Callithrix jacchus: one gene and its partners. The protein of the gene in region 1 interacts with the protein of each later gene in a pairwise test. Links are inferred from orthologs where the notes say so. Each region holds a gene or a part of one and is shown in the gene's direction. Other genes may lie near its edges. The genes, in order: SOX5, LMO1 and ARID5A.

Region 1 (10,265 bases):
TGACTGTGTCTCCATAGGTTATACATTACATAGACATAGATATATATTAGTTATAACTCTTAAAAACCTGAATCTAGGTGAATAAAGAGTTGCTCCTCTTTTTGTTGGGAGATCTCTGGAATATTCCAAGGATCTAGTTCATATTCTTTTCACTTTTTTAACGTCAAGGATGTCTTATGACTCTTGCTACTTTTCTCCATTGTTCACAGACCACTTATTAACTCCTCTCTAACCACTTGGGGGTGACTATGAAGAACGCGATAATTTAGAGGTGAAGCCGTTGGACGGGCTTCTTCATCTCAGTTTCGTACTTTGATAAAAATAAGAAAGATTTCTTTCACAAAGTGTATTTTTCTTTTGGCTCAACTCTCTTAAGCCAAAACTAGAATCCCTATTCATGTTTAAACTTGAGAATAGCTTAAAGGGTAGGGGCTTTATTCTTTATGTCATTCATTAAACAGTATTAGATGATTTCTATACTCAGTGCATATGCTATTTGCCATTACCTATAGTAGGTAATGAGAATAGAAAAGTCCATCATTTATAGTTGCTGCTATTGCAGCTATCTCCCCTGACTTTGGGAGAAAAATGTGAACATAAGATAATACAATGCAACAATTCAATACTATAATAAAGGTCTAGACATATGCTGTGTGGATTCCCAAAGAAGGGAACAACTGTTATCCATGGAAATCAGGAAAAGAGCCACAAAAAACAAGGTGTGTGAGCTGGAACATGAAGAATGAATGTTTAGGGAGATACTGGCCCAGGCAAGGCGCTTAAAGATGGCATTTGCAAGTGCTCAGAGTGGTGGTGGTGGTGGGGTAATGGTAGAACATTCAGTTTGGCTAGAATTTAGGATGCACAGAGGAAGTGGGAAGATTATGTAATATTTTGAAGGACCTCATTAATTCATAACAATAACTTGACAGTTTTTTTCTGAAGCCAATGGGGAGCAATTGAGGTCTATAAACGGGAAGTGACAGGACTAGACTTTGACATGACATCACTTCGTTATGTAGGAAGTTAAGTTTGGTACTTTTTAGAGGATAGATTTGTACAGAGATCAATTGATGACAGGAAGTTCTGTTTTAAAAGTTTTATTTTAAAAATTTGCTACAGAAATTCACAAAAAAAGATGACAAAAATGGCAGTGAAGATAGAGAAGGGAGGCTGGAACAAGAGCTCTTTTTAAGTCAGTACAGCAATATTTATGTTATGTTGTCATTTGTGTAAAAGGCATTCTTATGGGCTGATCTGTGCACCTTCCCCCTGCCTACCAACCCTAATTCACATGTTGAAGTCCTAATGCCTAGAATCTAAGAATATGAACATCTTTGAAGATACAATCTTTACAAAGGGTATTAAATTAAAATGAGCTTATTATGGTGGGTCCTAATCCAAGATGACTGGTATCCTTATAAGAAGAGGAAATTTGGACATAGATATGTACAGACTGAGACAATGTGAACACAGAAGACAGACACCTACAAGCCAAGGAAAGAGTCCTGGAACAGATGAACCCTGCCAACAACTTAATCTTAGACTTCTAGCATCCAGAACTGTAAGGCAATTTCTGTTGTTTAAACCACCCAGTCTGTGGTACTTTTTTATGGTAGCCCTGGCAAACTGATAGAGAAATGTTATTGTATATGCATAAGTCTGTGTTAACAAGAAAAAGACACACAAAAGAATAATAGTAATGGTTACTTTTGAAGGGACAGTGTTGGAGATCTTTTACTATATTTCTTCATCATCATAATTTACTAATATGAACAGAATATTGAAAAATATAATTTTAATTAAAATTAAAGGAAAAACAAACCTATTTTGAGAAAAAATTACTGTGATTAGTTAATATGACCAATGTAGGGATGGGTAGTTGCTAAGGAAATTGAAGATGTTCTTAAGTATTTTAGAATGCTGATTGGTGATAATGCTTTAAAATTACAGGAAAATGGTGAGTTTTACTCTATGCTTGTTGAATTTTATGACTGAAATACACCCTCAGAGATACCCTATGCTGCATCTAAATATTGGTTACTAGGGCTGGGGGACAATCTTAGGGTTGGCACCTATATTATTTCATTGACTATGAGACTATGTGTTTTAGAACTCAGTAGGTTAAAATATGCAAAGCATTGCTGAAATATAGTGCTTAGAGGTTAAAACATGTTAGTTCAAGGCCAGAAAATATAAAGAATGGGACTGGGAAGAGTATGGGCATTTATGGGTGGCAGACGAGGAGTTAGGGAAAAAGATTGAGAAGAAAAGGTTAGCTAAGTAGGAGTTGAAATAGAATGAAATTGTGTCCGGGAAGTCATATGAAAATGCTTAAGATGCGACAAGGTGGGCTGAAGGTTCAAAAAGTTTGAAATGAATGTGGACTATAAAATTAGAAATTTTAAGTTTGAAATAAATCTTATTTACTTCTTTATGACTAAGTGAAAACAAAAAAATATTTTGTTAAACTTTCATATACTTAATGACAAAATGATATTTGTTAATTCTCATCACCAAATATATACAGTTGACTCTTGAACAGTACAGGTTAGAATTCCACAGGTCCACTTATATGTGGTTTTATTTTCCCAGCTAAACACAGATCCAAAACGTAGTATTCACAGAATGTGAAACCCTTCTGTAGAGGGCTGACTTAATTGGATTCTGCAGGACCAGTTGTAGGTGTTGAATATGCACTGATTTGCTTAAGCTTTTAAGTTATCCTTTCCCATGTTGAGGTGAAATACAATTCCTGAGTTCAAGTGATCCTCCCACCTCAGCCTTCCAGTAGCTAGGATGACAGGAGCACACCACCATGCTCAACTAATTAAAAAAAAAAATTGTGTAGAGATAAGAGTCTTGCTGTGTTTTCCAGGCTGATCTTGAACTCTTGGCCTCAAACAATCCTTCTGCTGGATCTCCCAAAACATTGGAATTATAGGCATAAGCTCCTGCACCCAGGCTTGGGCTAAATTTCTAAAAGCAGAATTATCCTTTGTAGGTTATGTGCATTCTAAGACATGTGTATTGCTATTCCTAGTGTGTATTTCTTGAAATGTGGTAGAAATTTACTGCTCTACTAACAATGTAGGAAGATGTTTATCTTGCTAGCATATGAATATTTTCAGTAAGAAAATCTTTTCAGGATATATTTATATTATTTAATATTAGGATATAATAGTCATGTGGCTATTATTCATAGAGTGAATGTTCATTCTAATGGAATCCAACTATCTGAGATATAATAAATTATTAGCAGCACATTATAGACCATCTGCCTTGAATAAGGATAGGCATTGTTAATAAGAAAGAGTATGCGAAATGGTTACTGCCTTATTCACACATTTTCTTTTCTGGATATTGTTGTCTAGCCTATATGTAAAATACATTAGAACCCTTATTTCTACTCCAAATGTGTGTATAAAAATTATAAGCTACTAACTATAGCTGCTACTTCCTAAAATAGGACAAACTCTTTTAGCCTAAATTGGTAGGAGAAATGCACTGGGGTTAAGAAGGGTGACTGAGTTATAACAGATCCTTCTATCTAATTATGTATACAGGTGACAAATGCAGAAGTAAAATAGTGCTTAGTGTCTTATGTTTGAAGTGAAAATTGTAATTAAAGAGGGTGTTCTCTCCTACTGGTAGTGCTTTATCATAGGGACTTTGTCTATATTGTGAGTTTGAAAAGAACAATTAAAAGTGATACTGTTTCTGTTTCAGTGAACAGCACACATTTCCCTTATATTAAATACAAATTTTAACTTAATAAGATTAATTGGCATGTTTTAAATAAATTGAACAAAATATTAAATGATGACCATGACTTCTCCAAATCTTGGATTTATGCATAAGCTAACGCGATGATAGTATGATGCCAATTTGCCAACCATGTTGTCTCACAATTGGCATATTTGTGTTCTCAAACTTAAATATTTGCTCAGTTAACTATATTTTATTTTTAAAGATAGACTCTGAATTGGCCTATGGGGAATACAGTCTAAAACTTGATTGGCTAAATAGATATTTGCTATCTTGTAACATAGAATTCCTTAGTTCTGAATCTTTGTTTTTTTTTTTTTTTTTTTTTTTTAAGAAATGAAGAATCATATCACTAATACTAATGCACTGACCTCTTAATAACTATAGCTATTAATTTTTTAAGTCTTTGTCTTGCTTCTTTATTTAGATGAAAAACTATTATATTTAAAGCCAAGAACTATACTTTGGACATTGTTTTATTTCCAGCAGGCTCTAGCATAGAACATTAAAAACAGTAGATGCTCAGCTAACATTTTTAAAATTTACTTATAAAGTAAAATTTTTCAGAAACTATAGATTATTACTAGTCATAAATGTAAAAACATTCAAAATGTTTGCTCATTCTGGTACTTTGGTAGAAGTCCAGTGTTCTGTCTATTGTGCCAGAGAGCCAGGTTCATTGTGGTACTTTGTAATCAGTAAATTACCATCACTTTTTACTGTTGAGTGAAAATCTAAAAGAAGGTAGGTAATGTTTTTGTGTTCATTGAACTTTATATTTGGACTAGCTCTGCATACAACAGAGTCGTTTTCATTGAAGTAATCACTTTTTCTGATTTAGCTTGTCTGTTTTATTGCCATATTATTTTTAGGGACTCCTGAGAGCCTAGCTGAGAAAGAAAGGCAACTCATGGGTATGATCAACCAGCTGACCAGTCTGCGAGAGCAGCTCTTGGCTGCCCACGATGAGCAGAAGAAACTAGCTGCCTCTCAGATTGAGAAACAGCGTCAGCAAATGGAGCTGGCCAAGCAGCAGCAAGAACAGGTGAGTAAGAACTAGTGATGCAATCAAATTATTCAGACATTGCTTTGCCTGCTACTTATAGGTCACTGTACTGGGTACACAACAATGAATAAGAGTCCCTTCCACCTCCCTAGTTAAATAAATTAAAAGGCAAAAAAAAAAAAAAAAAAAACCCACCCACAGATAAAACCCAGATTTTAAGATGCTTATTAACTACTTTGGTGGTAAGTAGCTAGAAGTAATTATAATCAAGGTAAATTTTGATAAATCATGAGGAAAATACCAAAAAAGAACCATGGGGAGTCAAGAGAACGTTTTCAACAAGAAACATTTTGAATGAATTTATTAGAGAGCTGACATTTGAGATGTGCTTTGAAGAACTGGTAGGCTTCAAGAAGTAAAGTGAGTTTCCAGTTGGGGACAGGAAGTTCAGTTACAAGGCTATTATAATACTTTCAATTAAAAAGGGTGAGAATCTAAATTAGTCGGGTAACCATGGACAAAGAGAAAAAAAGGAATAAACAGGTCCACGAGTTATGGTTAGTAGAATTCTTTGAGTAGGCAAAAGGGAAAGGAAAACCATTGAGCCTAATAATAGGGAGATTGAGAATGCCGTCAGTAGAAACAGAGGCAGTCAGGAGAAGAGCAAGTTTGGAAAAGAAAGTAGTTTTATGATGTTGAATTAAAGTTGCTGTCAGGTTGTCCAGTTGGAGGGATGTGAGAGACAGCTAGAAATACCAATCAGTACTTTGGAAGAGAGCTCAGTTGTTTCTTATTTACAGAGAAATGGTGCTTTAAACTGCTGAAGGAGATAACATTCATTCATTTATTTGACAAACAGTAATCAGGGCTTCCTATGTGCCAGGCACTGTACTAACTAATTGCTGAGGCTATCTCAGTTAACCAGAGAGATAAAGCCCCTACATTTTAGTGGAAAGAGAGAGACAGATAAAGGAACAGATAAATTAACAAGATGACATTATATAGTGATAAATAATTTGAAAAAATATAAACACAGTAAAAAGTTAGATGTTGGTTGCTATGACAAGGAGCATTGGCTCCTTAGATGGGGCTGCTGGATGTTTCTGAAGCTTTGGCAGTTAAGCTCAGAACTAACTGATATATAAGAGGCAGCCATGTTAATATTAGGGACAGGAGTGTTTTATGAAGAGGTGTGGCAGGCTTATAGGCCTTAAATTACAATGGTAATAAGAAAGCAGAAAGGAACTAAAAGTGGGTCCTTGGGAGGTACTGGCATATATAACTGGCAGAGAAAGGAATATGAACATATACAGAAAGAAAGATGTGGAAGTGGGGCCAGGAGTGCAATGTATTGGAAACAAAATGGAGATTTTAAGAGATAATAGGGAGCAGTGTTAAATGCTGTAGAAGAGTAGTCATTCTAATAATCAAATTGAAACAAGATTTGTCATTTAGATTCTCATTGTCGGCCTTGAAGAGTGAGGCTTCTATGGTGTTTTAGTAGCCGAAATCAGACAATAAGACTTGGAAAATGCATAGTAGGAAAATGGAGGCAGTGCCTATGAACTATTAAAGAAATTGGTAGTAAATGGAAGGTATGATAGAGGGGAGGTGTCATAGTTTCACCTTATGTAGAAGTATGGCTCTCTTTTTCATGGCTAAGTTCTTTTCCTGTTCCATGTTCTAGACATATTCCACAGACCATCCCAAGTGGAGGATGGCCACTATTTAATATTTGCATGTCTACATATCCTAGAAAAACCTTCTAAACATCTTTCCAAGTACAAGTTAGCAGGGTTGAATGACATGAAGAAATACTCAGTTTATGTTTGAGGAGCTCCTTTTTTCCATCCCCCTATTTTTCTTTTACTCTTCTCTGCTTGGTGGTTTATGGTTTATCTCTGATTAAAAGTTGTTAGTTTTATTTTTAATGAAGTGCCTCATCACTTTCATTAAAGATGTTTTTGGCTTGTTTTTGGATATGGCCCATATGCTTTACCCCTATGATAGAAGAGTTTGGAATGCTTGCCAGTAACAGTATAAAACAACAGCACTCTTTCCTTGTCCTTAACTCTGAATCTTTCAGTCAACTGAATTCTGGAGAATCCTAGGAGTCTCCGAATATGTAGCTTGGCCGGGGATATTTTTTGTAGATAATCTCTATTTGCTTTGGTGGGCCTGAGGGCACACATGTCCTGAAAGATCTAAGCAATGACTGATGGAGAGGAAGTTTCTTTTTTTCTCTTTTACATTTTGGCCCATCTCTGAAGATCATGAAAGGATTCTAGAATCCTTTGATTCTAATAGTTTCCCAAGACCGCTGACATTCTTCTTGGAACTTTACAAACCCCTAAGTTCTTCAAGAATTTCTCTCCTGTGTAGGAGAGATGTCCTGCGGTGCTGCTTCCACAGCCTGGGAGAAGATCCCGGGTGATAGCCACAGGTCATGTATCTAGAGCCCATTCAGCTCTCCCAGCGCTTCTCCACCATACATAGCAGGTATGCACAGGTACCACTCTGTGGTAGCATATTCTTCCATGAAGGGCATTTAATACTTATTCTTTAAGGGTCAGGGAAGGTGCATCTTCTCCTCTAAAGTCTTTTTCTGATACTCCTTCCAGCACTCCCTACTGAGTGTCAGATGTTCCCATTCTGTGCATTCTAATACTCCTGATGTAGCTGTTACCAATGCCAGAGGACCTGTTTACTGACGAGCCTTTCCTCCAGATTCTGAGCTCCAGCCCACATTCATCAATTAGACAAATATTCATTGACCACCAATTTGATGCCAGGTTTTGTTCTAGTTAGTGGGAATAGAATGGGAAATAAAACGGACAAAAACCCCTCATATATTGAAATCTAGCTGAGAGGGGTAGACAATAAATAAACTGTAAACTATATGTTGGTAAGTACTATGTTGAAAAATTAAGCGGGGCATTGGGAATGAGGGTATTATCTATGGGTTTATGTTCTTTTAAAATGGGTGCTCAGGGAAGACATTATTGACTAAAAACATTTGAGCAGAAACCTGTAGGATGTATGGGAATGAGCCATGGGGCTATCTAGGCAGAGTATTTCAGACAGAGGAAAAAGTAAGTGCAAAGGCCCAGAAGCAGGAATATCCTTCAAGGCAGGAGCATGCTTGGTATGTAAAAGAGGCAGTTAGGAATGCAATGTGGCAGGTGTGGGATGACAATAAAAATTAAAGATGATATGAAATCACAGAGGTAAAAGAAGGCCAAATCATATAGGGCCTTGAAGGCATTATATGCACACTGGCCTTTTTGATGAGTGAGAGAAAAGAGTTTTGGAGAGGTGAATAGCATAACATCACACACACATATACATATATATGTGTACATATATATATATATTTTTTTTCTTTTTCTTTTTTTGAGACAGAGTCTCTTACTGTCACCTGGGCTGGAATGCAGTGGTGCAATCTATGCTCACTACAACCTCCGCCCCCCAGGTTCAAGTGATTCTCCTGCTTCAGCCTCCTGAATAGCTGGGAATATAGGTGCCTGCCACCATGCCCGGCTAATCTTTTAGTCTCACTATGTTGGCCAAGCTGGTCTTGAACTCCTGACCTTGTGATCTGCCTGACTCGGATGCCCAAAGTGGACTTATATTTTAAGAAGTACTCTCAGGATGCTGGTTTGTGATAGACTATAGGGAACAGGAGCAAAACACAAAGAGCATATGGAGGCCATTACAACAGTCCAGACAAAGGCACAGTGAACAGAAGAAAGTGCACAGGAGGTTGAAGTAGTCAGGTTCTGGAGTATTCTGAAAGTTTCATTAAAATGATTTAAATGGCAATTGAAATATTGATATGTGGGAGGAAGGAATGAGACTTAATAGAAAAGATAATCTTTCTTCTTCTACTGTCTCCTTTATCACTTTCTTCAGGAAAAATAATTGTGGGTCAGGCATGGTGGGTCATGTCTGTAATCCCAGCACTTGGGAGGCTGAGGTGAGTGGGTCACCTGAGGTCAGGAGTTCACGACCAGCCCGGCCAACATGGTGAAACCCTGTCTCTAGTAAAAATACAAAAAAATAGCTGGGCATGGTGGTGGGCACCTGTAGTCCCAGCTATTCAGGAGGCTGAGGCAGGAGGATTGCTTGAACCTGGGAGGAGGAGGTTACAGTGGGCATAGATCATACCATTGCACTCCAGCCTGGGCAACAAGAGTAAACTATGTCTCAAAAAAAAAAAAAAAAAAAAGAAAGAAAAAAACTTTTTTTTACCATAGTCCAAAGATAAAATTAAAGTATTAAAACAATTATAATTATACCAACATCCATAAAGGAGGTAAAATTTTTTGTGTGTAGCCATGTAGACTCATCCTCATCACGTGGGTTCTCTACTTTTATTCATGGTGATGTATCATTTTTTTTCCTGTATTTTTTACTTTTGGATACAGAGGCTAAGATTTTTTTTTTTAATGAAAATAATGGCGATTATTACTTGATGAGAATGAGATCTAGAACTTATTTATAAGACAGTGATAAGTTTTAAGATGTTAGAAGTTACATCCTATCCCATGCGATTAAATGTTTACAATTTTCATCTCATCTATTAATGCATTCTTCTTATCAGATGTCCATTCAGCATTCCTTTATAATGGACTTCCTGTGAATAGTGATTAAAATTTACATGGCCTCTACTATCACTGAATTTATAGACTTCTCCTTAGGAGACAGAAAGATGTGAATAACAAATAAATAAACAAATATGAAGTCATAGCATGGGCATAATGTTAAGTAAATGTAGGGAGTGTTGTAAGTGCAAACAACAGTGGGTATGGGAAGTCATTGTGCTGTTCCCTAAGTTAGGAAATATTTAAGATGACTATATGGAAGGCTAAATCTCAAATTTAGTTTTGGGCCTGTTGAACTTGAGGTACCTTTGAATAAGTCTCTCAATAAGTGGATCTGATGATTAAAACAAAGATCTAGGCTAGAGAAACAAATTTAGAAGTACTTGGCTTACGTGTGGAAGTAAGTACGAAGGAAAAGAGCAAAAATCTAAAATTGAGAGAATTACAACATTTAGTGGCTGGAAAGAGCCATTAAAGGTGACTAAGAAGGAAAAGACATGAGAGGTAGAAATGAAACCAGGGAAGTATGATGTCACAGAAGCCAACAGAGAAAGTTCATGATCAAAGGAAAGCATTTGAGTGTTGAATTCTGATGAGACATCAAAAGGCGAGAACTGATAAATGCTTCAGAATTTTTAAATAATGGGTGTGATTGACAATCTTCTTAAGAATCATTCTGGTAGAGAAATGGAAACAGAAACGACAATGGTATGTGTTGAGTTGGTAGTTAGGGGTTTGTGAGAGGCAGTAATGAGAAAATTATTTATCTAAAAACAAAAAATTACCAAAAACTTTACTAATAAATCCAGTGTCTTGCAATACTTTGTGCTACTCTGAACTCCTCAGTCTTAAACCTACCCCTCCCCATTTGTGAAACACTGTTATAG
Region 2 (10,265 bases), on another chromosome or scaffold:
AAAAAAAAAAAAAAAAGATTAGGAGAAATATCTAATGTAGATGATGGGGGGATGGAGGCAGCAAACCACTATGGAGTGTGTATACTTATCTAAGAATCCTGCACAATCTGCGCATGTACCCAGAATTTAAAGTATAATAATTAAAAAAAAAAAAAAAGACAAAGCAAGTGTCTGAGCAGGGATGGGATCCTGGGTAAGGGCTAATACTACGGTCAGCTCCTGTTCACTGCGCCCTGGGTTGATGCGCATAATCTCATTCTATCCTTAGCACACTCTTACTGGAAAGAGACCACTATGGCCCCCAGTACACACATTAAAGCCGGAAGGTGGGGGCTTCAATCCAGGCCTCCAGCACCATGGAGCAGTTCCCAGACTTGAAACTAGGCTCTGTGATTTCAAGGTCTGAACTCTTAGCCTCAGCCACGCTCTCGACTCTGACCTTTTGAGGAGAGTGGGGATGGGCAGGACAAAGGCGTTTCTTCCTGGAGCAGTAGCAGAGTGAAGGCCTCGGACAGAAGCAAACAAGATCCATTTGTGGGAGGGAGGGGAGCTGTTTTCCAGGATCCTGTGGGAAGCAGGGCCAGCAGTGCCCAGCAGAACACACTGGTGTGTGGCAGGGGCCGCAGATGCCCCGTGGAGTTGCCGGGGGTGGCCACAGTAGCTCCCAGCAGGGGATCTGCAGGGCAGAGCCTGGAGTGACCTGGGGCTGGGTGAGGTTGACATTCTGGGCTGGAAGACTGGCCTTGGAGGAGCTCACTGGGGTAGGTGTCCCCCAGGCTGCCATCCAAGCCGGAGTAGGAGCCTGTGGGCTTGGCAGTTTGGAAAAGTCCACATGCTGGAGCTGAGGGGCAGCTGGGCTGGGACAGGTGGGCAAGAGTCACTGGGGACTTGGGTCTGGCCCAGTGGACTACTCTGGGGTCCATGTGAAGACCAGGGCGTTTCTCCTCTCAGCTGGAGGGAGAGAGTGGGAGGGGCGGGATGACCTCTAGCATTCCCTCCCTGTCACCTGGAGTGTCTGTCTCTTCCCCAGATTAAAGAGCTGAGGGTGAGTGTCTGGCAGCCAGATGAGTCAGACTGGGAGGCTTCTCTCTGAGCCTGGCTGCCCCCTTCCTCCAGCAGCCCTGCCTCCTGCTAGAGGTAGGGGTTGGAGTTCGGCCTGTCTTCCCTCGAATGTCATTCCCCCCACATCCTGAGACTTAGGGGTGACCCTGAGTTGATTGGGCTGGTTTATTCTGCTGGACGCAGCACATGCATCTGAGTATGTGCCCAGGCGTGCGCGTCGGTGCAAACATCAGCCATTGTAAAATATCAGTGTTTTCATGGGTGAGTAGTAATTACTGGGTAATGCTTTAAAACCTTTCCTGAAGGAGCGCAAAGCGGTTTTTTTTTCTAAAGTCAGGAGTACATTAAAAGGATTACCATGTAGATTTGATTTTTAGATAACACTAAAATGGATCCCAAATGGACTTCAGCAAAGGGATGCTATCTCCTTAATGGAAAGTGCATGGCCTGAGGCTCAGGTCCCAGAGCCAGGCTGAGGAAGGAGGGAGGGAAGAGGTATCCGCAGGGGCAGGCTGGCGGACTGACTGGGGGGCTAGGTGGCAACCGGGGGAGGCAGGGCATGAGGGAGGGCCCAGACCCTGTGGGGAGCTTATCCCTCCATCTGGGGAGCGGACTGCAGAGCCCCGCCTGAAAGCCCCTCCCGCTTTCCAGGAGTGTTTTAAGTCTCAGTGGCCAGCCGGTGAGTGCAGACACAGCATGGGTGTCCCATGAGGGAGGGTGTCTCCACTGTTTTGTTTGACCCCCAGACCACCTGTAAGAAGCAGGGGATTGTTTCAATGTTTCTTATGGGCCGATGAAGGAACTTAGGCCCAGAGAGACTAGGGAGTTATACTCTGGACCCACAGCCCCAGGACTGCAAACCTGCAGTCTGGTCCCAACCCTATCCCACTGGGCCGCCATGGCTCAGGCTTCCCCCAGGACACCAGCCTTTCTCACCAGGAGGTCTCTAGACACTCTGGGGCCTCCACCAGGCTGACCCTGGTGTTCCATGTCTCGGTGGACCTGGGACACTTTGGCGGAAACTGTGTGGCTTCTTTTTTTTTTTGAGATGGAGTTTTGCTCTTGTTGCCCAGACTGGAATGCAATGGTGCTATCTTAGCTCACCTCGAGCTCCACCTCCGGGGTTCAAGCTATTCTCCTGTCTCAGCCTCCCTAGAAGTAGCTGGGATTACAGGCACGTGCCACCACACCTGGCTAATTTTTTGCATTTTTAGTAGAGATGGGGTTTCTCCATGTTGTTCAGGCTGGTCTTGAACTCCTGACCTCGTGATCTACCTGCCTTGACCTCCCAAAGTGCTGGGATTATAGGCCTGAGTCACTGCCCAGCCTGCTTGTGTGGCTTCTTTAAGAGTTCTCCAGAGCCCAGCAGTCAGTTTGGCACCCCAGAAGAGGGGTGTCCAGGTCTTAAGGTAACCTGCCTGTGCAGGGGCCAGCCTGGGCATAGGCAGCAGGGAGGGGCCTGAGGCAGCTGGCAGCTTCGCCCCTCATGGCTCCACAGGGTCCTCAGGATGCCCCGTCTCTCCAATGGAGAGACTGTGGGCTAGTGCTGTAGTTCACAGCCCTGCGGGGGCCAGGAAAACACACTGGGGGCCCAGCTTGGAAGACCAGCTTGTCTAAGAGCCAGGGCAATGGAAGAGAGGGTGGGGCAGGTGCTTCAAGTGCTGGGGTCTCTCATGGTCTCCCTTCATTTTGGGCTGTAATTTAGAGAGCTAGAGTCTCTCGAGTGCGGATGCTCCAGCCATTACCCACCTTCTGGTAATAGCCCAAGCCTAGGGCCCTGGGAGGGGCTCAGGGCCACTGGGAAGGGAGCCAGGCCTGCAGTGAGCTGGGCTGAGCAAAGGAACATCAGCCTTCTAGGGGCTGTATCAGGGGCCTGGTCCGGCATTTTCCAAGCTGGTTTTGTATGTGTATCTCTGCTGGAGGCGCAATCCCTGCATGGGGCCTAGGGACAAGGCCCTGCCCTTGGAGCCCCACCCTGGTCCAGGTCCTACCCTGGGAGCCCCCTCATTTCCCCATCAGCTATTTTAACCCCTGCCCCATTTCCCCACACCTCCCTGTAGGCCAGGACTTGTTCAGCTCTCGGGGGTACCTGCTCCCCAGCTGCCCTCCTTGGGCTCTTTCAGAGCTGTGTGCCAGGCTGGGCCCTGCTGGAGGAGACACAGGCAAGCCTGAGAACAGCCATCCTGTGCCCCATCCCACTCTCAGACCAATTAACCTTTAGAGCTGCATTAAGGAAATTAGGCAGCACACTTCCCAGCTAACAGGCAGGCCCTGTGGGGCCTGGAGGGAGGAGGAGGGGCCACTGGCCCTGCGCCCTGCAGCCTGTGGGTGGGTGCCTGCTCCCCAGGCTCATCTGTCCAGGAGAAGTCTGAGGAGGCAGCTAGGCTGAGAGTGAGCACAGGAGAGGGGAAGGAGCCCTGGGGCTGCTTGACCAGTGCTGACTCAAGGCCCTGTAACTGAGCCTGTTTCCCCATCTGTAGAATGAGAGCATTTGACTGGAAGAACTCTAAGGGTTCTCCTGACCTTACATCTGTGGATTCTGATACCAAGGCGTCTTGTGGTTGGTTGTCCCCTGATGCCCGAGGAGGAGGGAAGTAAAAGGAAGAGAAGCGGCCCAAGTGCTCACACTGCAGGCTGGGGGCAGTGAGAGGGTAGGGACTGGGAGGGACACCAGGGGATGGGAGGAAGGCCAGAGCCCTGGAGAGAGCTGGGGTCCTTTGGAGAGGATGGGGCCAGTGGGAGGACAGACTCCGGGGGAGTGCTGGAAAGCCGGAGGGGCCGGCCCAGAGCCCGCTCCCCAACTCAGCTGCACCTGAGTCAGGGACAGAGCATGCACACCCTCCCTGTCTTCACGAGGGTTCTCAGGCAAGTCCCACAGGCTCCCGCCCTGCAAAGTCACAGAGCAGGGCTTCTGAGACTCTCTGCACCTCCCTCCAAGCCTCACAGAGCCACATGGATGTCCAGGCTACTATACATCTGTCAGGCTACTATACTTCTCAGCTGTCACTGTGGTCTCAGGAGGAGGGACTGGGAACCTGTGCCTCTGTCACTTCGTGCCTACACCTGCATAGCATGCCTGCGCGTGAGGGGTGTGTGTGAGCACACGTGCTTGCCTGTGAGACGGGAGGCTCTGCCCCGTGGTAAACCTCATGCTGGTCTTCTGCCCTTTGTGCTTGGGGCTTGCGTGTATGTTGGGAAGCTGGTATGGGCCCTGGGAGGGGCTGATGCCTGAGAGATCCTAATCCTGGTAGAATGAGGGAGGATCCAGAGGCTCAGAGCCTGCCCTCCCCCAAGCCAGAACGGGTGAGGTATGACACCACCTGAAGTGTCCCCAAGGGGAGCCCCGGCCAGGCCCCACCAGCTGCATCCTCTTACCTGCCAGGACCCCCAGAGCCGCTGTCCCCTCCTGGGAGTGTTCTAGGGGCATCTCACTTCCTTCATGACGCCACCACAGTTCTACATGGTTAGCACAAGAGGCTGTAGCCTATCAGTTTGAGAAAGACAAGTTGGCAAAAAGATCTGGGGGTTCTAGTGAACCTCACGGGCCTGAGGAGACCACATTTCTTAGGCTCATTGCTAGAAGAGCGGATGTGATGGTGGCCTTGCAAGGGGAGGCTTCAGGCTTACTCTGGATCAGACTGCACAGGGGATAGAGGCCCGGGTTGGGAGGAACAGCTCAGGGAGGCCAGGCCTGGGGTCTGTGTGTGCCTTGGAGCAGATCAGCCTCCATAGGGACCTTCACAGGGCCAGGGGAACAGGCTGTGCCATGCAGCCCAAAGGGCAGGACCCAGAGCCAGGGGAGGAGGTTATTGGGGAGAAAGTAAGGGCTCCTGGGAGCCCCAAACCTAGAGGAGGCAGCAGAAAGCAGTGAGCTCCCCATTCTTGGGGGATATTGCTTGAGGCCCAGAGCTACAGGGCCCATCTGGCATTGCTGTCTCTCTGTCCATCTGCAGGTGTGCCAATGCTGTCCGTCCAGCCCAAAGGGAAGCAGAAGGGCTGTGCAGGCTGTAACCGCAAGATCAAGGACCGCTACCTGCTGAAGGCATTAGACAAGTACTGGCACGAAGACTGTCTCAAGTGTGCCTGCTGCGACTGCCGCCTGGGCGAGGTGGGCTCCACCCTCTACACCAAGGCCAACCTCATCCTGTGCCGACGCGACTACCTGAGGTGGGCCCCCCCCGCCCCTGAGCCGTTGTCCTGCTCAGAAAACCCCCATCCTCAGCCCCATTGTGACTATGCCCCTGGCCCTCCACCAGTACCCTGTGTGTGCCTCATTCTTGAATGTCCTGCCCCTGCGCTGCTTACCCCAGCTGTCTGAGAAGTTGCCTGAGGGCAGGCCAGGTCTCTATATCCATGGACTCAGTGCTCAACACAGGTCCAGGGCAGGCATGTGTAACCCTGGGCCCCTGAGTTAAGCTTCCTAAGGCCCAGCCTGCCTCTGCCTCTGCCTTGGCCAGGTGCTTCTGACCCACCTGTTTTGGAATCTGGGAGGGGATACCTTAGAGGGGCTTTGAGAAGCAGGTTGGAAGCTCTGACTTCCCTGGGCCCCTCCTCCCTGATGGAGTCTCCTTCTGACCCATCTCCCAGTGCCCAACCTTCCTTTCCAGGTGGTCCTTGGGAGCAGGCATCCATTTGCCCAGAGATCCTGGCAGGTAGCCATATCCTGGGAGCAAGGCCACTGCTGCTGGAGCTTGAAGACCTGGGTTGGAACTGGCTCTGAGCCTTTGGCTCCTAACCTTCTCCCAGCCTCGGTTGACTACTCCCCACCCCCATAAAGGGTGAAAGAACGAGACTTCCCTGCCTTTCATTCCTCTGAGCTCTCACTCACCCTCCCCACAACCTGGATCCTATTCCCTGGGGCTGCCTCCCCCAATTAACCCTCCCTGAGGCCATTTGTGACATCAGCAAGGCTGGAAGGAGGCCACAAAGCAGGGCCTTGGCTGAGACCCAGCACCTGCATTTGGCTCTGTCGCAGGCTGCTGGATGGTGGCTGGGCTTGTGGGGAAGGAGGGCCCATAGCATTAATTAACAGGTCAGGGCAAGGGCTTCATGGGGCTCTCTCTGCCCATGTCTGGGCATGTTGCAAAAGGGAGGTTATCAGTGGAAGCTCCTCCACTTCCCCAAAGATCCTTTGACTGACCTGCCTGCACCTTCTCTTTAACACCGGCATTTAAAGGTGATGCAGTAAAACAGGATCTGTGACTTGGTGCTCCTGGCTAGGGCTGGAGCGGAGAGGCTGAAGCCAGGAGCAGGGGTTAAAGAAGAATGTTCAGGCTAGGCATGGTGGCTCATGCCTATAATTCCAGCACTTTGAGAGGCCGAGGCAGGCGGATTACTTGAGCTCAGGTGTTTGAGACCAACCCTGGGTAACATGGTGAAACCCCATTTCTACAAAAAAAAAAAAAAAAAAAGAAGCCAGGTGTAATAGCTGCACACCTGTAATCCCAGCTACTCAGGAGGCCGAGGTGGGAGGATTGCTTGAGCCCAGCAGTTTGAAGCTGCAGTGAGCTGTGATCGTGCCACTGCACTCCAGTTTGGGTGACAGAGTGAGACCCTATCTCAGAAGAAAAAAGAAAAGAAAGAATGTTCCTGGGAATTCACCCCTTGAGGACCTAGAAGAGGCCTCCATGTCTGGAGGTTTAGGGCATCACCTGGGAACAAACCTTCCAGGGTAGGACAACGTGGCAGACCATGGGATGGTTCTACAGGACTTGGAGGGGGAGGTCCACAGTGCAGTAGGCACTTGTCAGGAAAATGCACCCACAAGCATCCAGGGCCCTAGCAGCTACTAGGGACAGAGGTAATTTTTTTTTGCTCTGGCAGAGGCAAGGAATGACTGTAGGGCCAGCGAAGCCAGTGGGCTGGGATGGGAGCGTGGCTTCCTTGAGCTGCTCAGCCCTGCAGAATGGCTTTCCAGAGCCTGCGCCCTCTGCGGCCCTATTCATTGGGCTGATGGCAAGAAAAGCCCCTCTTGGCAGGCAGATGCTGTGGCCCAGCCTTTGTCTGCCTTAATCTGAGCCACCAGGCAGCTCAAGCTGATGAATAATGGAGCCAAGTTCATCTGCAGGTGCCTGAGCTTGAGCTGGACAAATCGGGGATTAGAGGGGCTTCCCACCCACTTCTCAGCCTCCTTGCCTCACTTGGGGCTTGCTCCATCCCTGTGCAGGAAAGAAGCAAGGAGGAGCCAGGGTGGCTCAGACCATTGGGACATCCAGCCAAGGGTTGGCCTGCATGGGGACAGAGTAAACTTCCTGTCCCTAGAGCTTTAGAGCCAGGAGCTAAGAGGAGGGATGCCTGCCTCAAAGAGGCATTTGTGCCAGATGTCCTTGGAGCTTCCTTTGGGCATCAGTTCTGATTTACAGCATCTTTGAATACGATCATTCATCCCTATTTTACAGAAGGATAAACTGAGGTTCAGAGAAAGGAAAAAAAGAGACTTAGGCAAGTGACACAGTGAGTTTGTCATGGAAAAATGATCTAATAAAACACTTTAATTTTGGCAGGGCACAGTGGCTCACACTTGTAGTCCCAGCACTTTGTGAGGTTGAGGCAAGAGGATCACTTGAGGCCAGGTGTTCGAGAACAGCCTGGCCAACATAGTGAGACCCCCATCCTATTTTTAAAAAATAAAATAAAAAACACTATAATGTTAATGGTAGGAAAAACATCACACAGTGGTTTAGGGCACACCTTCTGGAGCAAGGCCTTGTGCAAGCTGTTCTCTCTGTGACTCATTTTTTAAACCTTTAAAATGGGGAATAATAATAGTATCACCTCCTATGTTTGTTGCGAGGATGAAGAGTTAATCTTTGTAAAGATCTTAGAACAGTGACTGACACATAGTGAACACTGCCTAGGTGGTTGCTTAGTGAGCTGTGACTGAGAATTTACAAGGGGTTTCACAAGCACCCCATGAAGGGTGTGTTTTGGACTTCAACAGATGAGGTAAATGAGGCTCAGAGAGACTCACTGACTTGCCTGAGGACACTCAGCCCAGGATCCACCATCTGTCCCTGAAATTCAGGCTTGTGTGGGTCTGGAGCCCTTGTTCAAGGCCCAGCCTAGGATTCTCTTGGTGGCTCCAGGGCTTGAGGACCCTTGTGGGAGCCTGGGAGGGAGCCTTGGGATGGGCAGTTACAGCCAACTCCTGACCACCTACATACCCTCGCTGGAGGGGAATATGCCCATTTCTTGGAAGCCAGATCTCTGGGCAGAATATAGATGCTGCCCTCGGTGCTCTTACCCCCTTTCATGAGCCCACCTGCCGAGCCCACAAGCTGGAGGATGGGAAGGACCCTGGATGGAGGGTCCTTTCCCCTGCCCACCCAGTTCCCCAGAATGCTGCTGAGACCTCTGTGCCCTTCCCTCTGCAGGCTCTTTGGCACCACAGGGAACTGTGCTGCTTGCAGCAAGCTGATCCCAGCCTTTGAGATGGTGATGCGGGCCCGGGACAACGTGTATCACCTCGACTGCTTCGCCTGCCAGCTCTGCAACCAGAGGTCAGTGCTGGGCTGGCAGACCCAACACACTCCCGAGACGCCAGCCTGAAGCCTGCTGGGGTGGGCCAGGAGCACAGTGGGGACGTGCATGCACAGGCAGCTTGCATGTGTGTATGTGACGCTGTGTGCAGGTTATGAGTGCATGTGCTTTATGTGTTGTATGTGTGTGTAAGCTCGGTAGCCAAATGTGTGCACTCGAATACTGGATGTGCACATCTGTGTGGCACATTTTTGTGTGAATGTAATGGAGGTGTGCCTGAGTTTACTGTGTATACATAGTGAGCATGCATGTGCATGCATGTGTATTTATGTGTTACGTGCAAGTGGGCACATGTGCATGATGGAATTAATAGGCAGCTGTATACATGTTTTCAAATGTCTGTGAAATGCAGATATACATGTGTTTTTAAATGTCTGGGTGTGTGTGTGTGTTTGTGCAATGTGTGTGCACGATGAGGTGAGTATACATGTGTTTACATGTTTTGTTTTTTTTTTTTTTTGAGATAGTCTCACTCTGTTGCCCAGGCTGGAGTGCAGTGACATGATCTCAGAATCTTGGCCCATGGCAGCCTCCGCTACCCGGTTCAAGTGATTTTCCTGCCTCAGCCTCCTTAGTAGCTTGGACAACAGGCGCGTGCTACCACACCCAGCTAATTTTTTTTTTTTTTTTGCATTTTTAGTAGAGATGGGGTTTCACCACGTTGGCCAGGCTGGTCTCAAACTCCTGACCTCAGGCGATCCTCCCAAAGGGCTGGGATTCCAGGTGTGACCCACTGCCCCTGGCCTGTATACCTGTTTTAAAAGTGCATGTACATGGGCTAATGTATCCTCATGCCCCTGTACCCAGTGTGTGGTGTGTGTCTATGTGTGCATGTATGTTCCAGTGAGAAGGGATTCCCAAATCTGGAGGGCAAAGTCCCCTCAGGGAGTGGCCACTCTCTCCTGACCCCACCCTTGCGATTCTGGTTCCAGCCCAGCCTCTTTTCTGATCTGTTGGCCCCAAATCTGTGCCCTAGCCCTGTGGGAGGCCCTGGGGGGCCTAGAACCAGAAGGCAGGTGCTTTTCTCAGGAGCTCCCAGCTCAGGTAGGAAGTGAGGTTCAGATGGACCTACAGGGAACGCTGGTCTGACTGGGGGCCTTGGCCAGACCTGCCGCTAGGAGGGCTCAGTGAACTTACAGCGCCACCTGGCGGTTGGACTGGGATCTGCTGGAACTAGGCCAGCAATCTTGGGGTCTCCCTAAGGGCTTCACCCACCCTGGGAACATCTTTGGGGAAAGGACTGGAATCTTCCAGTACTTGGGGAGGACTAGGAGACCAAAGAAGGGCCTTCCTTGGGTAGGAGAGGAGATAGTGGAACAGGGTCATCTCCTAGAAGGATGCTCCAGGTAACCACCGATTTTGTTTAGAGGAAGAATGTCCTGTATTAAGCCATCCTCTTAAACTGGGGAGAGGGATAGAGGGATGGAAAAGCATCCATCCTATCCCTCCCTCCTTACCTTTCCATCTCTGCCTTTCTCCATCTCTCTCCCCTCTTGTTCTTTTTCTGTTTGTCTGTCTTTCCCTTTCTCCCTCTCTGGGATTGGGGTAGGCTGTTCCTGTACCTCTCCACCAACCCCCTCCAACCCCACACTCACCTCCACAGGAGACCTGACTGTGGAAGGCCTGTGGCCCAGGCTCAACTGTCTGTCTGTCCTATTACCTCA
Region 3 (10,064 bases), on another chromosome or scaffold:
GCTCCTAGACCTGGAATACTTCAGGAATTCACGATAGCTAGCAAAAAACTCGAGGATCTTCCTCTCCCATTTCCCAGCAGGGAAGACTGAGTCACAGAGTCACAGAGGACTTGGAAAGGCATCAGTCTGATGGGTCACTTGTTAGTAGCTAGGATTTCTGGAGACCGGTGTGTCAGAAGCCAGCCCAAGAGGGAGGGCCTGGTCTCCTTCTCTTTGCCAAGCCTTAGGATTGGTTTCTCTCCAGGCTTACTTGGACTCTTCCTGAGTCCGGCTTTGCCAATGTTGGTAACCACAGCGGCCACTGGGCCAGAATCAGACCTTGATTTGAATCCTGGTGCCCCAGAGAGGCAAGTGACTTAACCAAAACCATTATGGCTTCAGATATCCCCTCTTTAAAATGGAATTCCTCTAGGACTGAGGGAGAAAATGTACAAGCACACCTTGCTCTTTTGTGCTTTGCTTTATTGTACTTCACAGATACTCCTTTTTTTACTCATTGAAGATTTGTGGCAACCCTGCATCAAACGAGTCTATCGATGCCATTTTTTTCAACAGCATGTGCTCACTTTGTGTCTCAATGTCACATTTTGGTGACTCTTACAACATTTCACACTTTTTCATTATTATTATTATTATTTTTTTTTTTTTTTTTTTTTGAGACGGAGTTTCACTCTTGTTACCCAGGCTGGAGTGCAATGGCGCAATCTCAGCTCACCGCAACCTCTGCCTCCTGGGTTCAGGCAATTCTCCTGCCTCAGCCTCCTGAGTATCTGGGATTACAGGCACGTGCCACCATGACCAGCTAATTTTTTGTATTTTTAGTAGAGACGGGGTTTCACCAGGTTGACCAAGATGGTCTCGATCTTTTGACCTCGTGATCCTCCCGCCTCGGCCTCCCAAAGTGCTGGGATTACAGGCTTGAGCCACTGCGCCCGGCCACTTTTTCATTATTATTATATCTGTTATGGTGATCAGTGATCTTTCATGACTGTTGTCATTGTTTTGGGGTACCATGAACTCCACCCATAAAGTGAACGAAATTGCTAAATGTAGTTTGTTCCACCTGCTTCAGCGACCAGCCATTCCCCATCTCTATTCCTCTTTCTCTTCTGTGGCCTCCCCATTGCCTAAGGCACAACAGTATTGAAACTGGGTCAATTAACAATCCTACAATGGCCTCTAGGTGTTAAAATGAAAGGAAGAGTTACAGGTCTTTATCTTTAAATAAAAAACTGGAAACGATTAAGCTTAGTGAGGAAGGCGGGTCAAAAGCCCAGATAAGCTGAAAGCTAGGCCTCTTACACCAGTTTGCCAAGTTGTGAATGCCAAGGAAAAGTTATTGAAGGAAATCAGAAGTGCTATTCCAGTGAACACACACGGTAAGAAAGTGAAACAGCCTTATTGCTGATAATGGAGAAAGTTTGAGAGGTCTGGATATAAGCCGTAACATTCTCTAAAGCCAAAGCCTAATCCTGACCAAGGCTCCAAATCTCCAATTCTGTGAAGGCTGAGAGAGGTGCAGAAGAAAAGTTGGAAGCTAGCAGAGATTGATTCATGAGATTTAAGGAAAGATGCTATCTCCCATCACATAAAAGTGCAAGGTGAAGCAACCAGTGCTGATGTAGAAGCTGCAGCAATTTATCCAGAAGATCCAGCTAAGATCGTTGATGAAGGTGGCCATGCTAACCACAGATTTTCCATGTAGATGAAATAGCTTTGTATCAGAAGATGTCATCTAGGACTTTCATAGCTAAGGAGAAGTCAACGCTTGGCTTCAAAAGATTGGCTGACTCTCTTGTTAGGGGCTAATGCAGCTGGTGGCTTTAAGTTACTCATTTATCATTCCAAAAACCCTAGAGCCTTGAAGAATTATGCTAAATCTACTCAGCCTGTGATAAAGATGTAATAACAAAGCCCAGATGATAGCACATTTGTTTATGGCATGGTTTACTAAGTATTTTAAGCTTACTGTTGAAACCTACCACTCAGAAAAAACATTCCTTTCAAAATATTGCTGCTCATTGACAAGGCGACTGGTCACCCAAGAGCTGTGATGAAATGTGCAAGGAGATACATGTTTTCATGCCTGCAAGCACAGCATCCATTCTGCAGCCAAGGATCAAGAAGTAATTTCAAGTTTCAAGTCTTACTATTGAAGAAATACATTTTGTAAGGCTATAGCTGCCATAAATAGTGATTCCTCTGATGGATCTGGGCAAAGTACATTGAAAACCTCTGGAGAGCATTTAAGGAACATTTGTGATTTGTGGGAGGTCAAAATATCCAAGCATTTGGAAGAAGGTGATTCCAGTCTTCATGGATGACTTCAGGGGGTTCAAGACTTGAGTGGAGAACTCACTGCAGATGTGGTAGAACAAGCAAGAGAACTAGAGTTAGAAGTACAGCTTGAGGATGAGACTGAATTTCCGCAATCTCATGATCAAACTTGTATGGATGAAGAGTTGCTTTTATGGATGGGCAAAGAAAGTGGCTTTTTTTTTTTTTTTTATACAGAGTCTTGCTTCATCACCCAGGCTAGAGTGCAGTGGTGCAATCTCAGCTCACTACAGCCTCCACCTCCTGGGTTCAAGGGATTCTCCTGCCTCAGCCTCCCAAGTAGCTGGGACTACTGGCACCTGCCACCATACCCGGCCAATTATTGTGTTTTTAGTAGAGACAGGGTTTTGCCATGTTGGCCTGTCTGGTCTCAAACTCCTAACCTCAGGTTATCTACCCACCTTGGCCTCCCAAAGTGCTGGCTGGGATTACAGGCATGAGCCACCGTGCTCATCCTAAAGTGGCTTCTTGAGGTGGAATCTACTCCTGGCAAAGATGCTGTGAACATTGTCAAAATGACAACAAAGGGTTTAGAATGTTACATAAACTTAATTGATAAAGCAGCAGCAGGGTTTTAGAGGATGGACGTCAGTTTTGAAAGAAGTTTTGCTATGGATAAAATGCTGTCAAGCAGCATCACATGCCACAGAGAAATCCTTCATGAAAGGAAGAGTTGCCGGGTGCAGTGGCTCATGCCTGTAATCCCAGCACTTTGGGAGGCCGAGTTGGGTGGATCATGAGGTCAGGAGTTCGAGACCAGCCTGGCCAATATGGTGAAACCCCGTCTCAACTAAAAATACAAAAATTACCTGTGTGGTGGCATATGCCTGTAGTCCCACCTATTTTGGAAGCTGAGGCAGAAGAATCGCTTGAACCAGGGAGGCAGAGGTTGCCCTGAGCCAAGGTCACAACACTGCACTCCAGTCTGGGCAAAAGACCGAGACTCAGTCTCAAAAAAAAAAAAAATGGTGAAGGGGGGAAGAGTTAATGAATATGGCAGATTTCACTGTCATCTTATTTTTAAGAAATTGCCACAGTCACCCCAGCCCCAGACACCATCACCCTGATCAGTCAGCAACCATCAACATGGAGGCAAGACATGAACACCTATCGAAGTGGGACCACTCAGTGGCCAAGTCTTCTACCCCGTGCCTCTGAGTACTACTGGCCCCTGGTTCATGCTAGTATGGGTTTCTTGTTCCCAAGGAGATTCTTTTTCTCTCTGGGATGGAAGGGAAATCTCACAGATTCCCAACAATAAGGATTTTCTGGGCTGAAGTGAACCAAGAGTACAGGACAGTTCATACTCAATTAACAAAAGGACAGAAAGAAAAGGTTGTCAGACATGGGTTCCTGGTCTGGTATCTGCTGCCAGCCTGCCATGTGGCCTGAGGCAGTTTCCAATGCTTGTGTTTTTTGCAGTGGTGGAGGTGTTGCATTTTTGAAACCATCAGCACATGGTGGCTCTTAGTAAAATAGAGGCCATGGCTTCTCCTGCCCACTACTCAGGGTTGGTGTGAGCCTTGCTCATTCCAGCTTGGCACCTGCCGTGTGGGGCATGGGAAGCCTCACTGAGCTATCAAGGAGCCCTGGGAGCCACAGGCAGTTAAGCCAGGATGCCAGGATAACTGTGAGTAGCCGAGGGCAATGGAGGAGATGTCTGTGGCCAGGGGCCGGAGGAGGCCACCTAGAGAAAGACACTTGTCAGCAGAGACCTGAGGGGCCACCAGGACTCCTGCAGGTGAGGGGAACATGTGGCCTAATTAGAGCAGTTAGAACTCTGCAGATTCTCAGGGAAAGGTCAGATGTTCCCTAGTATGCCTGGAGGAACTACTACCCAGGGACCCCCTGTGGTGCCTTGAGGCCACATCCATGGGATCCTTTAGCTCTCCAGTGAGGCTGAGTTGCTTCGGAACTCTGTGTCTGAGCATGGTTTTTGGAGACAGGATTTCCCCAAGCACCACAGCCCAACCCCAGCCTCCTCTGACTTGACCTCAAGGTGGTTTTGCGTTTCCTTCAAAGATGTGGGGAGATAGCTGGAGCAGAGGAAAGAAAAGGGGTGTGGAGCGGATGCAGTGGGTTGGGGAGTGGCGAGGGGTGTGTGTGTGTGTGTGTGTGTGTGTGTGTGTGCGTGTGCGTGCCCATGTGTGCAGGATAGCCTGTGTGCAGCTAGGGACATGCCCCTTCCCACCCCCGGCCAATTCTTTTTTTTTTTTTTTTTTTAAATAGAGACAGGGTCTCTATGTTAGCCAGGCAGGTCTCGAACTCCTGACCTCAGGCAATGGCCTGCTTGGGCCCCCCAGAGTGCTGGGATCACAGGTGTTAGCCCCTGCACCACCAGCACCCTCTGGCAACTCTGATTGGACTTGGGGAGATTGCTGTTCCTCCCTGCCTGCATCTCATGTGCTCTCTCCCCACCTCTTCCTCCTTCCTTCCCTCTTCCCTCTCTCCTTGCAGCAGCCCCTGTCAAAGGGAACAGGAAGCAGTCCACAGAGGGTGATGCCCTAGACCCACCTGCATCTCCCAAACCTGCTGGTGAGCAGAACAGGAGCCAGAACCCCATCCTGCTGGAGGTGAGTTGGCTGACTCCCTGAGCACTCTTCCCTGCCACCTTCACCTGTGCTTAGCCTCCGGGTAAACCTGGACACTCCCCAAGCTCTCAGGAATTGAGACATGTTCCTGTCCCAGCCCTGCCTGGCAGCCAGGGGACTCACTTGTCATCTGTGGCAGAGAGTTTCAATCTTGGTTTTTGTAGCAGAACCCTTTTTTCAAATGAAGATGACCCACCACCCTGATCCATCCATAAAACAGACAAAAGTTCCAGCCCATATTGTAAAACCACATTCACATCTGTTCATCTCGATGCATAACGTGGGCATATAAAGTCACTCCACGAGACCAACAACCAAGGCTGTTTCAATGAGTACAGAATCTGAAGGGGGTGTTGCAGGTGGCTTTTTCGGCGCACAGTCGAGCTCAGCTTCCGTTCATTTCATGCCACCATTTACTTTGGTGGCACAGTCTGGAAAAGTATCCCGATTCATGCAGAAAAGTGGTTGCAAATGGTAGTCGTCTTTAGCAGCTTGCCTGGAATTCAGAATAGAGGCCTGGAGGAGCAGATTCACTTGAGCAGTTGAGAGTGAGCCTTCCTTCTGAGGTCTGCACAGATCATCCCCGGGCCCCAGCATGCTACGATTTCATAGGTGACATGAGTTTGTATGTTGTTTCTTCTTAGAGGTCTTTAATACCTTAAAAACACTGAACTATTATAGAAGCTATTTACAACTAAAAAAATAGTAATAACACTGAAATAAACTTGAATCTATTTATTTAATTTTTTTTTTTTTTTTTTTTTAGACAGAGTCTCGCTGTTACCCAGGCTGGAGTGCAGTGGCACGATCTTGGCTCACTGCAACCTCTGCCTTCTGGATTCAAGCGATTCTTCTGCCTCAGCCTCCCGAGTAGCTGGGATTATAGGCAGGCACCACCAGGCCTGGCTAATTTTTATATTTTTAGTACAGATGGGGTTTCTCCATGTTGGCCAAGCTTGTCTCGAACTCCTGACCTCAGGTGATGTGCCCATCTAGCCTCCCAAAGTTCTGGGATTACAGATGTGAGCCACGTGCCCAGCTGGATAAAATATTTTTAGAACACATGGCTCTCTGCACTGTTCTAGTCCAGATGGTTTGTGTTCTGGAAGCTGTCTGTTCTCTAAGTAGGAGACTACCTTGTGCCAGGGTATGGGTCCTGGGCTTTCAGCCCCAACCCACTGTACCCCTCTATTCTGAGCCACTTGCTGGATGAATGGCATCAGCAGAGATTGCCCCTCTGGGACCCACAACAAAAGTCCTGTGTCCCTGACAGTGTGCAGTAGAGGCCCAGAGCTTCACCTCCCTGTGCTCAGCATGGCAGGCTGGGGCCATGTAGAGGCTCTGGGAATGTGGGCCTGACAGAGTGACCCCACAGTGCCAGAAAGCACCAAGCACCTCTGTTCCTTCAGCTTTTCCCTCAGGAGGGCCCCAGGGACACTGAGCCCTGCCCTCCAGGAGCTCCTAGTCTGACAGAGGAGCTGACACATATATGATAAATCAAGAGCAAGACAGAGAAGTGACCCTGGCATGGAGAAGGCTGGGGACTGCTCCCTTGGCCTCTGGAGCCAGCTGCTCTGGGGAGGTCCTGGACTCCAGCCCCTGTCCTGGGGCACTGAAAACTGACACCTGTGCCTGCCGAACCCAGGAACAGTCACTCTGTCCCAGAATAGTGGCTGGGTGCTCTCTGGGAAACTGGGGTTGGGGCAGGTACTTTATTCCTCCTGCAACCAGTGGTTTCTGCACATCCTCAGCAGCCAGCCACCAACTGGGGCCCATCCCAATGCCTCCTGTTCTCTCCCCAGGACTCCCCCGAGGCAGGCGGGGAGCGGGAGGAGGAGCAGGAGCAGGAGCGGGAGGAGGAGCAGGCCTTCCTGGTCAGCCTCTACAAGTTCATGAAGGAGCGACACACACCCATCGAGAGGGTGCCCCATCTTGGCTTCAAGCAGAGTGCGTTCCTGGGGTGCAGGCAGGGAGGGGGGCCCAGCAGGGGACCCCACCCAGGCAGGGCATCGGGCAGGCACTCCCATTCTGGGTGACCCAGGTTGCAGATAGAAAGGAGGCTTCCCTCCAGGCTGCCACTGGGCCAGCAGTGCACAGGGCATAGCCTGCCTGTTCGTTGCAGTGGCCCTGGCTGGTGTGTGCTGGTCTGTGCCCGTCTGACAGGGTGCTAGGAAGGGGTGGCAGGCTGCCCCCACTTCCCAGAGAGACTGACTGCTGGCCTGCCCCTCTCTCCCCCAGTTAACCTGTGGAAGATCTACAAGGCAGTGGAGAAACTGGGGGCCTATGAGCTGGTAAGGCAGGTACCTCCCAATCCTTACCAAACTCCATCTTCTTGGGGTGAGCCTGCAGCCTCTGGACAGAGGAAGAGCCAGGATCCCCTGTCCTGCCCCTGCCTCCCCACCTCCCCCGCTGGTACTCTGCTGCTCAAAGCAGCTTTTCCAGCCTTCCCCATCTGTCCTGCCTAACCTGTGTTGGGAAAACTGCTTGGGCCAGCAGTCTTTGGCCCTGGGAGGGAGAATGGGCCAGCCGCTGCTGGAGCTGCAGGGCAGCTGCCAAACTGCAGTCCTTGCCGGGTCCCTGCGAAGGGGGCCAGAGCGGCAAGGATCCCGCTGCCAGGGGGCGCCCACCAGCTGCACCCTCACTAGGTGCCCTTGCAGGTGACCGGGCGCCGCCTCTGGAAGAACGTGTATGACGAGCTGGGGGGCAGCCCGGGTAGCACCAGCGCAGCCACGTGCACACGCCGCCACTACGAGAGGTATAGTGGGGTGGGCCGGGTGCTAGAGGCCACCTGCCCTCCGGGGCCTTGGCCGAGCGTGCTGGGAGTGCCAGGTGGACTCTGCCCGGAACAGGAGGTGTGTGCGCCGTCCTTAGCTTTTAGCACTGCAGGAGGCCAAGCTGGCTGGGCGCAATCACCTAGGGAGCTGAAGCTTTGGGGCCAGGAGAGGGCCTTCCTTGTCGCTTAGAGGAAGTCGCAGAGGCCCGTGGAGGGAATGGGAGCCGGCCTCCTGGGGGACATGCTTGGCTCCTCCCCAGGCTGGTCCTGCCATACGTGCGGCACCTGAAGGGGGAGGATGACAAGCCGCTGCCCACCTCCAAGCCCAGGAAACAATACAAGATGGCCAAGGAGAACAGGGGGGATGATGGGGCCACTGAGAGGCTGAAGAAGGCCAAGGAGGAGCGGCACGTGGACCAGGTAGGCCTACAGCTGGCTGGAGCCACCCTGTCCCCTGCCTCTTGCAGTCCCCACCCCACAACTCCCTGCAGCCACAGGGCTGTCTGCTCAGAACACACAGAAACTGCACCCAGGTCAGGACTTGCAGGGTTCCAGGTTCTCCACAGACGGTTGTGCAAGTGGCCTCTGAACTCCAGCCTCCGCCCACCCACCAGGCCCTGTGTCCTGACTCGAGGCTGTGTCCACTCACAGGACAGGGCACCTTTGGAAAATTCTGCACAGAGGCACTGTAGAGGCTAGCAGGGGATATAGGCAGGACTGAAAGTGCCTCCTCCTGCTCCCCAGGTCGGGATGCACAGGTCATGCAGCCCTGAGGCATGGCTTTCTCTCATTGCAGATGATGCCAGGAAACACCAAAGCAGATGTCGATAACCCAGCACCTCTTCCTAGCCAGGAGTCCCCCAGAAACAGCACAGAACAGCAGAGCCCGGCCTCTGCATCTTCTATGTCCTTTGTGGGTGCCAGCGGCTGCCCTGAGGCCTACAAACGGCTCCTATCCAGCTTCTACTGCAAGGGGACACATGGCATCATGTCACCACTGGCCAAAAAGAAGCTCCTGGCCCAGGTGAGCAAGGTGGAGGCCTTGCAGTGCCAGGAGGAGGGCTGTCGCCATGGGGCAGACCCCCAGGCATCCCCAGCTGTTCACCCCCCAGAGAGTCCTCAGAGCCCCAAAGGGCTGGCTGAGAACTCCAGGCACCAGCTGACCCCTCAGGAGGGACTGCAGGCCCCAGGTGGTAGCCTCGGGGAGGAGGTACAGGCGAGACCTTGCCCGGCAGCCCCCATCTTCACAGGCTGCTTCCACACCCACCCCACTGAAGTGCTGAAGCCTGTCAGCCAGCACCCCAGGGACTTCTTCTCCAGACTTAAAGATGGGGTGCTATTGGGGCCTTCTGGCAAAGAGGGGCTGTCAGTGAAAGAGCCCCAGCTGGTGTGGGGTGGGGACGCCAACCACCCTTCTGCATTCCACAAAGGTGGCTCCAGAAAAGGCAGCCTCTACCCCAAGCCAAAAGCCTGCTGGGTATCTCCCATGGCCAAGGTCCCGGCCAAGAGCCCCGCGCCCCCATCCACCTTCCTCGGTAGCCCAGGCCTTGGCAGCAAGCGCAGCCTGGAGGAAGAGGGTGCTGCCCACAGTGGGAAGAGACTGCGGGCTGTGTCTCCCTTTCTTAAGGAGGCGGATGCCAAGAAGTGTGGAGCCAAACTTGCAGGATCTGGCCTGGTCTCCTGCCTGCTGGGCCCAGCCCTGGGGCCTATGCCCCCAGAGGCCTACAAGGGTACTATGCTGCACTGCCCGCTGAACTTCGCTGGCACCCTGGACCCCTTGAAGGGCCAGGCTGCACTCCCCTTTAGCCCCCTGGTCATCCCAGCCTTCCCAGCCCAATTCCTGGCCACTGCAGGCCCTTCACCCATGGCCACTGGCCTAATGCACTTCCCGCCCACGTCCTTCGACAGTGCCCTCCGCCACAGACTTTGCCCAGCCTCATCTGCCTGGCACGCACCACCAGTCACAACCTATGCAGCACCCCATTTCTTCCACACCAAGCTGTAGGCCAGCCCATGTGTCGCATGTGCTGTGGAGTTGGCTAGGGCCTGTGATGGGTAGGTGCTGCTGCAAGGGCGCTCTGGACTGGTGCCCACTACCCAGGACACCTAGTCCATGACTGTGGCTGGGCAGCCTGGCACAAGCAAAGAAGGAGGCAGTGGGAAAACTGGGTTTGTCTCAAGGCAACAGCCTGAGCCCAGGAGCAGACCCAGTTGTTGTAAGGCTCTGGGAGAGGGTGGGCAGCTCCCATTGCCCCAGAGTGGAGCTCAAAGCACCCAGGTTGCCCACAGAAAGTCCAATAAAAGACACCAATGTGAATTGACATAGTCCTGAGGTGTGTGTGGTGTGGACCTTTGCAACGGCA

The links.
Region 2: the proteins of SOX5 (region 1) and LMO1 interact in binary tests that used the Homo sapiens proteins (3 or more experiments, as listed by UniProt). The two-hybrid records come from large-scale screens. The link is inferred for Callithrix jacchus from reciprocal best matches to the Homo sapiens genes SOX5 and LMO1.
Region 3: the proteins of SOX5 (region 1) and ARID5A interact in a two-hybrid assay, tested with the Homo sapiens proteins (2 studies listed by BioGRID and IntAct). The two-hybrid records come from large-scale screens. The link is inferred for Callithrix jacchus from reciprocal best matches to the Homo sapiens genes SOX5 and ARID5A.

The regions. Positions count from the first base shown.
Region 1 is NC_133510.1:47,537,442-47,547,706, forward strand, and holds part of SOX5 (transcription factor SOX-5), read left to right. Parts: intron 1-4,640; coding exon 4,641-4,813; intron 4,814-7,127; exon of another isoform or gene 7,128-7,273; intron 7,274-10,265.
Region 2 is NC_133511.1:74,088,776-74,099,040, reverse strand, and holds part of LMO1 (rhombotin-1), read left to right. Parts: intron 1-5,015; coding exon 5,016-5,229; intron 5,230-8,435; coding exon 8,436-8,561; intron 8,562-10,265. UniProt on the Homo sapiens protein: May be involved in gene regulation within neural lineage cells potentially by direct DNA binding or by binding to other transcription factors.
Region 3 is NC_133515.1:6,493,013-6,503,076, forward strand, and holds the end of ARID5A (AT-rich interactive domain-containing protein 5A), read left to right. Parts: exon of another isoform or gene 1-4,788; intron 4,789-4,794; coding exon 4,795-4,910; intron 4,911-5,694; exon of another isoform or gene 5,695-5,907; intron 5,908-6,730; coding exon 6,731-6,875; intron 6,876-7,166; coding exon 7,167-7,228; intron 7,229-7,585; coding exon 7,586-7,683; intron 7,684-7,961; coding exon 7,962-8,121; intron 8,122-8,497; coding exon 8,498-9,706; 3' UTR 9,707-10,022; downstream 10,023-10,064. UniProt on the Homo sapiens protein: DNA-binding protein that may regulate transcription and act as a repressor by binding to AT-rich stretches in the promoter region of target genes.